Drosophila melanogaster: one gene and its partners. The protein of the gene in region 2 interacts with the protein of the main gene of each other region in a pairwise test. Each region holds a gene or a part of one and is shown on either strand. Other genes may lie near its edges. The genes, in order: CG5618, CG14568 and Pgant9.

Evidence for each region.
Region 1: the proteins of CG14568 (region 2) and CG5618 interact in a two-hybrid assay, tested with the Drosophila melanogaster proteins (one large-scale study listed by BioGRID).
Region 3: the proteins of CG14568 (region 2) and Pgant9 interact in a two-hybrid assay, tested with the Drosophila melanogaster proteins (one large-scale study listed by BioGRID).

The regions. Positions count from the first base shown.
Region 1 is NT_037436.4:20,351,903-20,355,659, reverse strand, and holds the start of CG5618 (uncharacterized protein), read right to left. Parts: upstream 1,741-3,757; 5' UTR 1,435-1,740; coding exon 1,255-1,434; intron 861-1,254; coding exon 673-860; exon of another isoform or gene 531-672; intron 356-530; coding exon 1-355. Other genes in the region: eRF1 (eukaryotic translation release factor 1), read right to left, coding at 2,106-2,215.
Region 2 is NT_037436.4:21,732,286-21,735,508, forward strand, and holds CG14568 (uncharacterized protein), read right to left. Parts: upstream 1,203-3,223; 5' UTR 1,168-1,202; coding exon 652-1,167; 3' UTR 521-651; downstream 1-520. Other genes in the region: CG14573 (uncharacterized protein), read left to right, coding at 1,846-2,424.
Region 3 is NT_033778.4:16,730,902-16,734,658, forward strand, and holds the start of Pgant9 (polypeptide N-Acetylgalactosaminyltransferase 9), read right to left. Parts: upstream 2,016-3,757; 5' UTR 1-2,015. UniProt on the Drosophila melanogaster protein: Catalyzes the initial reaction in O-linked oligosaccharide biosynthesis, the transfer of an N-acetyl-D-galactosamine residue to a serine or threonine residue on the protein receptor.

The DNA of each region.
Region 1 (3,757 bases), 1.4 Mb from region 2:
TGCCTTTGCCTCTGCGATCTTCGCCTCCAGGTCGTCCAACAGCATCTGACCCCGCTCATTGGTCCTCACCGACACACAGTTGTAGCTGCCCAATCCCAGCCAGTTGGCCGCCTTCACGAAGCTGTAGTGCGACTCGTCGGAGGTAAAGAGCACCAGCGGTCGCATTCCAAACATTCCAGACGTCTTCACCTCGGGCGCGATCTTATAGCGGGCCAGAACCATGCCGTACATGTTGGAGGTGGAGCCACCGGGCGCAAAGATGCCATCGCCTTCCTTGTATCCCGCTAACTTGCAGATGGTCGCGATCACCTCAGTTTCGATCAAGCTAAACACGGGCGCAACTTCGTAGGTGTATCTGAAACAAAAGTTTATTGTGTCTTGTTGGATACCTCGGTTAAAAGTCTGATTTTGGTAGTCCTATCTAGGAAATCTCATCTAAATGATTAATAACTTGCAATGATTGTGTATGAACTCTGCTTAATCCCCATTTAAATTAATCGAAAGGGGGGGGGGGGGGTTATGAAACATACATGTAGTACTTTGCAATCTCCATTACATAGCGCAATTATCTGTACGTTGAACCCCGACACCACTTGTAGATTGGAACACGAGATGCAATCAGCGGTCACTCATATAGACAAGACACATGTGTGGAATAAGGCGCAGACTTACGTGCTGCCGTTCATGGCCTCGGTGACCAGGGCTCCTGCCAGTCCAAACGGGTCCAGCTGGCCAAAGAGCTGATTGTGGAAGCGGCCGTGCGAGGTTTTCACAGAGTAATGGATCACCTGCTGGCACAGCTCCTCGATCTCCGCGAGCGAGCAGTTTTCCGTCTCTCGAACCTTCAGGTTAATCAGTTCCTGGAAGTGATGGTGCGAAATCATGTAATCTCAAGATTGTTATAGAACAGCGACTTTTGCAATAAGAAAGTATATTAAAGATTCAACATATTTCTAAAACGTTTTCTGTTTCGAACTAATAATATCTTTACCCAGAAAAAACCGACCATAATCTATGAAATAACAAACAATTCAATTATAATTAAAACTATCAGATACTAGCATGAGTGTGCTCAATCAGGAAGTGCTACTATCAATTGACTCACATTTCGTCGGGCAAGCCATAGTACAATTGCTACAATTTGCGGTCGGGTGGTCAATTTTCGAATGAACTCTTCCATTAATCAGTTCTCTGTTATCTCTGGTTATCTCCACATCGGCAGACGCCGAATCGTCTATCACTTGCTCCACTCACCTTAAGTTTGTCTGGCTGCAAAAAGGGGACTATCTTCTGCTTGTCCCATTTCTGGGGATCCACGCAGAAGGTATCCTCCTTCCGGAGAAGGTGGAATACGTTCTCCAGGATCTTCCAGTCGTCCATGAGGCCATCGCGAATCTGGTCAACAGTCTCTGCTCCATCCACTGATTCAGCCATACTACACTCGGTCGGTAGAAGTTTCCGTATCTCAATTGGCCAGTAAAAGGCTGATTATTTTTGGCTTTCGAGATCCGAACCTCTTCCGTCGACGATTCAATCAGAAGTGCCCCGTCCGACTGCAGCAGATTGTGTTTTAATGTTATCTTGATCAAATTCTCATCAAGTTGTAAACCCTCGTCTTCGCTCGCACTCAAATGGAAATACAAATGATCGGGGCTGTAAGAACACACATACACCTCCACGCTTGTGCTCTTTAGAGTGAACCTCGTTTTATTACGAAAGCGAAATAAAAGTGATATTAAAGTCGTGCATATTTAGGTTACTTAAACATACAATATATATCAATTAAGCACGTGCCTTATTAGCTGATTCGGCTTATCTCGTAACCAAAATCCTGCACAATTCGTTTTCTTTTCATCTCGACGCATTATCGTCAAATTCAATCGAAATTTGCATATTTACCCTATCGATTAAACAAGTTTCATGTGCATGCCACCAGAAAACTTGGTCAACTAATTGGATGCCCAACACCGCAGAACTTAGCTGAGCTTACTTTTTGGAAGTCTCGCTGCAATGATTACTTACAAATATTCAAACGAGTACGGATACCTGCACGACACTGCGGCTCAGAAACGAGTTTCAGCTCACCAGATGTATCTGAGCGATTCTTAGATGCAAATCAAGGGCGAAACAAGTACTACGAGTGCTTTTTGCTGTCGTCCACGTGCATTGCCAACTAATGAAGTGGGAATCTCGCAGTAAACTGTTTCCAGTGTGCCTGCAAATAGAAAGTAGAAAATGAAATGCCCATTTCACTTTACTTTCATTGCTGTACTGGTAGTACTCCAAGTGGCTACCAGCATTTTACTTATCCAGCAGATAGCAGAGTCGGAATTTTATCAGCTTTCGGTGCAAATTTCGTTTTCAAGCTATAATAGAACGATTAAAACTCACAGATACAATTCTCCTTGTACCCAAAAACTTTAGGAAACGTGGCGTATTGTCAATGTAGATTTAGATTTAGATTTATAGAGGAACAATTAATTATATAACAAGAGCTCTAGTCCCTCGAAAATATATTCAAATTGCAAATTTGTTCACGTAAAACGGTTGCATTTTAATATGTTTTCCTCGATTTAACATTTTATCGTTTGTATCTATATGCATTATTTAAAATTTTACTTTTTTCGCCAACAACGTAAAAATGGAAGAAGGTTTGTGTTTTCTCATATTATTTAAATATTCTATTTGATTTCCTGGATTCATATAGTTGTAGTTGCAGTTCAGTTTGCGGTCGAACGTAGTGGCAAATTCATTTCTACAGATACATTTCCTAGTAATCATCTAGATCGAAGCCATCATTGTCCAATTCATCGAGCTGCATACTCTGGAAATCCACCTTGTAGCGTAAGATACCTGCAGAGGCACACCCAGCAATTGAATTAAATTAAAATAAGAAACAAAAAAAAAAAAAAAATAGAAGAACAGAAGCTGATTGAAAATTGAAAAATAAATGAAGAGGAAAAAACAAAAGGATCAACACACAGGATAGTTCAACCGAAACTCAGATTCTCACCTCCTTTGTATCCACATTTAACTTTTCATACACTAAATAAAATATTTGTTGTACTTCGCGACTGAATATAAACGGATACCCCATCCTCATTGTGTGGTGTTTTTATTCTGGTTTAATTTTTATTACAATTTTATGGATTAGATTTGTATACTTTCTTATAACACTCGGCTATAATTTGAATAGGGGAAATGCAGATACGTTCGAAAGTGGCATGTGGCAGTTAACCGAAGATCTTTTGCTCCTAATACCGCAGTCGAAATCGAACCAGATGAACGGAGAATGCGCTAATATCTATCGCATCGCTTTTACATGACCATTGAAATACAAATTACGAATTACGAGTACGAAATACGAATTTAATATGCTGCTTAAAAGTACGCGATTCCGCCTGGTGCACGACTAATTAAAAAATTTGGTAAAACGTATAGGTACATATCTAGATGCACGCTGATCTGATCGACAAGGGAATGCACCATCCGACTGATGAGAGGGACCCTATTGGTGATAAATATTGAACGGCTACGCTGAACATAGGTAAAACTATGTGGCAAGTAAATTGGTTCCTAATCAATTTGAACGTTTTGCTTTACGAGGTTTCCCAAAAAGTACTGGTTTATTATGTATGTAACGCATAATCGAGACCCATTCGCAGCCCACCCTTAACAGGCTTAATAGTCATCGAGATCGACATCCTCCAGCGGCTCATCGGCCTGTAGGGATTGGAAATCTACTTTATAGCGCAAA
Region 2 (3,223 bases):
ATTAAGCTTACAGCTTACAGCTCACAGCTTCTAGAGAAACGCCCACTCTAACGCCCACGAACCACACAAAACTGCAACGCCCACACGTTTGCAAATTGTTTTGACATTTTGCATATTTTTATTAGTCTTGTAAATTTCTGTTGATTGACAAAAAAGTTTATGCAACGCATTTTATTCACCAATATCTATCGATATTCCAGGAAAAGTATGCAAGTTCGCGTTCGCATTTCCACTAGCTGAGTAGTTGGTATCTGATAAGCAGGGAAGCCGAATATAGGATTTCTTGTTTGATACTGCTTGGACAAGATTTTTAATAGATAATAGAGCACAGGGTAACTTGTAGTTGAGACTCCCGAATCACTTTTGTGATTTGATCCTGATTAAGAAAATAAGATCTTAATAGAAAAGCAAATGCGTTCATATATCTGTTAGCTCCAACAACAAATTAAATATGTTTTGCTTCACTAACAACAAGACAGACATATTTTGCAATTTTCAATTTATGACAAAAGGGTGGCTTGAATATTAACGCAATTATTTTATTATTTAAATTAAAATATTCAACAACAATTTATTTAGCGACAAAGTAATAAATGCATATCCTAATGAGTCGATTCCATTTGATTTCTAGCAAATTAGGGTTGACCCATTTCAGATGGTGTACACCAGAACTGATCCAGAGCGGATAATCTGAGCGGATCGAAGCTTCTCTGGGGTCGGACGACGACTGAGGAGGCGTTCGTTACGAGGCTGGATCAAGCCGGCGGGCACGGGATCGGCAGCAGGGGCCTGGTCCACTGGGCCATCAGCCGGCGGTCCATAGGTGTTTTCCGGCTCAGCAGGTGGTCCGTAAGTGTTATCGGGAGGGCCGTAGGTGTTGTCGGGCTCATCTGGGGGTCCGTAGGTAAGATCAGGTTGCGCTTCAGTCTCCGTGGGCAGGTCGAAGGGCACCTCCGGTGTCACTCCTGCTGGCGGATAAGGGGCTGAGGCCGGCGTAGGTGCAATATCCACGGCGGGGTCGGCCGGAACTGCCTGATCCCCTGGAGCCTGCTCCTGACGGGCAAACTGCAGGCGGGAAAATCGTCCCCGGAATCTGGTAGGCTCTGCAACAGAAACGGCAGCCATGGCTGCGATCAGGAGCAGGGAGCAGATGAACTTGTGGGCCATGTTGAGCTGCTGCTGAGTTGTCTTAGAATGTTGTCAGTGGCTGCCAGTTTCGCGCCTTTTATACCAACTGAAGTTTTCGGCCACTCGGGTATATTTGGCTCACCGAGGGACACCCTTTCGTTGGCCTACGGACGTGACAATATTTAGTCAAGGGCCCATGTCTAAGCCATAACCATTGGCCGTTAATTATAACCCGCGGGCACTTAACTTTGACACTTTACGTGGAACCACTGCGGATGAGGAATGGGTTGCAACCAAAGAAGTCGAACTAGTAACGAATGTCATTCGTTGACTTGTATGTTTTCTAACGTAATTCTATAATTTTATAAATATGTCATTACTTTAACTGAGCTAATGAATTTCTTTCTAACCTACTTCCCTTTTTATATACTAAGCATGTGGCCAATGGTCCACATGGGCATGGGCAACTAGGGCTATAGATCTGCTAGCACTTTAAATTCCACTCCACTGTGCGGCGCCTGCTTGACATACAATGCATACGCATTGATGGATTTCAAATCGCGGCGCTCTGCTTAAAATTCACGGCGTTGTTGGCTGGGCTAGAATCGCTGACCAGTGACCACCGATGAGCAGGGCCACCGCTGCGGCACTTGGAAGTATAAAAGTTAAAGCTCCATATACGACAGCAAACACAGCTCAACTGCTAGTCCCACGATCATGGCACGTTACCAGTTTTTCAGTTCGCTCCTCCTCCTGCTGGCGGCCATCAGCGCGGTGAATTGTGCGGCACAGGCACCACTTCGGCGGACTCTGCGCCTGCGTCCGGTGGCGTTCGCCCGGCAGGAGCTGGCTCCCACCCCCTACCCCTCGGCTGCTGAGCTTAAACCCGCCGCCGAACAGCCCGCGCTGACCTACGGACCTCCCGAGGATGTGGATACAGATGCCTTGCCTTCGGAACAGGATCCACCAGTGGACACCTTCGAGCCTAGCCCAGAGAACGAGGAGGTGGACACCGAGGAGAGCTCACTTGAGGCCACCACACCATCCTCTGCTCCGGCCCGCCTGCGCAGCCGCCATAGATTGGGCAAGTTGCAGCTGGCTAAGCCAAAGCTGCTCCGCCAACGCACAGCTCGCCTGGAGGAGCTGCCCGTGGATGCGGCTGTGGCTCCAGTGGCTTCGCTGGTTCCAGTAGCTCAGGCTCCAGCACTGGCCACGCCCCAGTTTTACTATGTGGGTGCCCAGCAGCCGTATTACCTGGCAGCCTACAGCGCTGCTCCCCAGCAACTAGGCTGGTAGTAACGCTAGTTGCCTTCTCTTAATTTGTTCTGTTTGGATTGCAATTTGTTGTTAAAAATATATTTCTGCTAATATGTTTAAAAATGGTTCGTCTGCTTGTTTTCCTTACATTTTAAGTAAACTCAGTCCAAAAAGTCTAAATAGAAACCAGTGATATGATAAGCGAAACTAATTAATAAATTAAATATCCCGACTCCAATATCAAACAAATAAGTTATCATTTACGTAAATAATTTAGTATTTCGTATTTAATCAAAACGTATTATGTGAAAGTAAGTGGAGAAGGGAGGATAATCAGCAGTGTGCTCATCTATACGTGTCAGTCCATCTGACTGTGTTATTTTGAATTATTAATAATTTATATTATTATTCAACATCTACCGATTGTCGAGAAATAATAATTGCATGAGAAATAATTGCTTTTAATGGTTAATATTAAATTGTCGAAATGGATGCAAATTTGTTTACACACAGCTCAAAGATTTCAGTTCTCTAAAATTCAGTGCAAGCCATTTGCCTTTAAGAAAAACTTATATCAGACCTATTCTGGACGAACTCCTGTTCGGAATTCTTTGCATATCCTTGACATGTGAATTGCCTCGGAAGCGTTTAAAGGGTTCCTTGTTCCCATCGCATACTTTTAGCGGATTTGTATGGTCTTTTGTGAAAGGCTTCCCATTTCCAATGCATTTTTAATGCTTTGTTTTATTCTAGTTATAGTGGCTGGGTCACCAGTGTAATGGCTTGCTAAGATATTTTTTAGTCTGCGCAATATGATTGGTGAATGGTGGCCTTTCAA
Region 3 (3,757 bases), on a different chromosome or scaffold from region 2:
CCTTTCGCTCTCCGCTTTGCTCCTTGATTCTGCTGTCAAAAATTCCCAAGTTCCAATTTCAATTCAGTTGGCAAGTTTCACAAAAAATTATACCCTGCGGCTGTTTTTTTTTTGTATGCTTTGATTTTTACTCAGTTGCTTTTTGAGCTATTTCGATTAGCATGCTTTAATTTGTGTATGAATTTTTCACACTATTAATTTGTAATTTCTGCTTATTTTTGCCATTTGCATATATGATTTCACACATTCAAAGAAACTTCACAGCTGACTGTGATTTGTGTTGCTGTTGTTGTTATTTCGTTATTTCATTATTTCACACACACAGCCAGACAGACACGCACACGCACACACCTCTGCGTAGGTGTGAGGAGTGGAAGAGGAAGAGAAATGCAACGGATTCACAATTCACCTTAGCACGCGCGCTCTCCCACTCGCACTTACGGACCGACCGCAACCTGCTGATTTGACGGTCAAAAATCGACTGAGTATTTCCCATTGGAGTTTTAGCCGGCAACAGTGGCTCGCAACATGTTCGCAGCCCCAGGTTCGATGTTCGAGTTGCAAGTGGGTGGGGGGGTTGTTGTGTGGGTCACTTCGCTCCTTCTGATAAACACTCGCTGATAAGCCCAGCACAGACACACACACAGAGACACACAGCAAGACTCTTTGTTGTTGCCCCAGACATTGTTGTTCTCAGCCTGTGAATGACAAATGAGCCCGTATACGCCAAATGGAATGGATATGGAATTTGAAATGGGATTGCAAGAGCGGTCCACCCTCATGGGTTATTAGGCGCGGGGGAGGAGACTGACGGAGACTGTCATGTCGCAAAAGACGGGATAAGAGTTTCCCAGAAGGTCCTCGCTTTTCATCCATGGAATGGCTGAGAAATCTGTTTAAATTCAAACAAACCAAAAAAAGAAAACAAAAATACGAAGCGAGGTTAACTAAACTAAAAACTAACTAATACTACTACTAACCTTTATAAATTTATAAATGCATATATTCAGAATGTCTCGGATGTGTTTAATGTGGGCTTCTAGTTAAATTGGTTAATATTATTATTATATGGTATATATATTATTATTTTTATATATACATACATACATATATACATATACATATTATATGATATACTAGCCTTTAGTTGCACTAACTTTCTTTAGCTTTTAATGGGCTCCGCTGGTCATCACTGTTGCAACATCGAACAAGCTCGTTCGCGACTCTTAAGCCGGCTGGCAACTGCAACTCGAACTGCAAGTCTAACGTGTTGGCCACTGCACTTGTCGTTGGCCATCTTCAAATCGGCTTGCACGTGGCTCATTTGCATATTGAAGTTGTTTGCCTTGTTTTTGCTTTTGCTGGGGGTGGGGATGGAATGATGAGGGCGGTTTAGCCGCAGGAAAGTAACCATATTTTTGTGGAAATTTAATAATGACTAATATTAATTAACTTTATTTAATTGAAATTTTTTAGAAGTTGGCGACAGAATCTATTTGCGATTGGCTACCAACATTCACTGCATTTTACATAGCAATTGTGATGTGTAAAGAACGGACCACGAAATTGACAATTTGCAACACCGACGGAAGCTGTTTTTCAATTGCTTCGCTTTGGCACCTCCCCTCCCTATTTTCCGCATTTTCCGCCCGCCGTTCGTTATGGACTTTTCATTGGTTTTGTTTGGCTCTTTCAATTGAAACATGGCCAAGTTTTGGGGCAGCATTGGTGGTGGATATTTGTGGGAACGTTTGGGAGAATGGGAGGACGACACCAATCAACTTTTTCCTCTGCGCCGCATTTTTCATTAGTTTTTCTTATACAGCGAAAAAGTTTTCTTGGCCTCAAAACGAGTCTCGTGTTTTTCACTGCTTGTTGTCATATATTGATAGCGCTCAAGTTTCTGTTTGCACAACTGCATTTGGCCATATACAATGCATCGCATTGCAAATATTGACGAACAAATGGATGAGCTAGTGTGATCATGTACAGCTTGATATTAAATACTTTCACCATAAAGCTAATAAATAGTATCAATATAACAACATTTTCAAGGCTTACGGAAGTTCGAAAAATTCCATTTAAGGTTGAAGTATTTCATGAAATTTCATTTATATATTTGCATTGTTTGTTATTATAGAATTTTCACTTTTTTCGCTTATTTAGGTTAATTAGGTCTGCTATTTCAATTGATGAAACCGTCCCCATTTTTAAAATGATGCTCGGTGCCCAAATTGCTGGAAAATGCCAATTTCAATACAGCTGTGCCACCTGTGATTTTGATTTGATGGCTGTTTTCGTTGGCGCTGCCAATTTGCCGACCAATTGAAAATGCAATGCACGCCCCAGACAAAAACTCATTTGCAACACTTCACGCAACGCCGGCGATTTCGATTTAGCCAAGATCAAGGGCGATAATGCCCGCAGCAGCAACGGCAGCAGCAGCAGCAACAACAGCAGCAGCAGATGCAACAACAACTGCTGCGGCAGCAACATTGGTTATATGTACATTACATTGCGTGCAACAGCGAGCTGCAGATATAAATAGCCAGCGGCAACAGCAACTTGGCCCTTATCCATTTTGGCTGATCTTTACGCACAGGAGGCACCGGCATTAACTGCCGCTGCAACATCTGCAACACAAACACAAGCTGCAACAACAACATTCCTTTCGACATTTAATTAACGATCGCGATTGCAATCAAAGCAGCTCTCCCACACCCCGATTTCCCCTTCCGCCACACCGTGTTTTGAATGGATCCTGGCCAGATTGCAGGTTTACTGGTGGCCAGTTACTTAGTTAGCCGGGCTAAGCTGACAAATACTGTAATTAATTTTAATTGCAGCGATTGGCGCTCGCTTTCCGTCTCATTACAGACTGCACTGCTCCCTTTTTGTTTTTTTTTTTTTACTACCGCCTTCAGCTGGCGTTGATTTTCGCTATGATAAACCCAACGATTCCGCAGTATGCCCTGGTATTCCCGCTCGCCATTCTTGGCTACGTGTTTTTACGCCTAATTGCTGGAAATGTCGCGTGGCAAATATTTTGTCGCCTTCACAAGGGCGCTCAATAAGCGAACAGCAAAAGCGAAAAAAAGGTGTATATTAATAAATACACTGGGACTGGGGGGTACATAAAAATGTATATTTATTACAAACAGATTCAAAAATCAAATAAACTTAAGCATAATATTTCGCTTAACAAACTAGTTAGTTAGCAGTTATATTTAAAAACCTATTTCAAAGCAATTTTAATCCCGTTTACATACTTTCATAACCTGATTATTTTTCCACTGTAGCTCCTCTCTTGCATATTTTGCAAACACTTGCACTTTGGTTTAATGGAGTATGGCAAGTGCAAAATGGAAATAAAAATGTTCATTTCTCGGGTCCCCGGAGGCTCCCAGACGAATAATCATATAAAACACTTTTCGTTTGCAGTTCATTGAGTGAGCACAAATCCAATTAGATTTTGACTCGGCTTAGTTAGGCAGCCCCGGACTCGCCCCTCAAATTCACTGGAAAGCAACCCGGAAAACACCCGAAAAACACACACATACACACACAAACACAAATGGAGTGCCGAAAAATCGTTGCATACTTTGCAGCAAAAAATGTTCTCAAGTCAATTTGCCTGCCATAACTGTTGACTCAAGTTTTGTTTCCGTTTATTGGTGTGAGTGAGCGGAAGTTTTCATGTGTGTCAGTGTGTGTACTTAGCTGGTATTTGTGTTAGTTTAGAGAATTTAACTTGTGG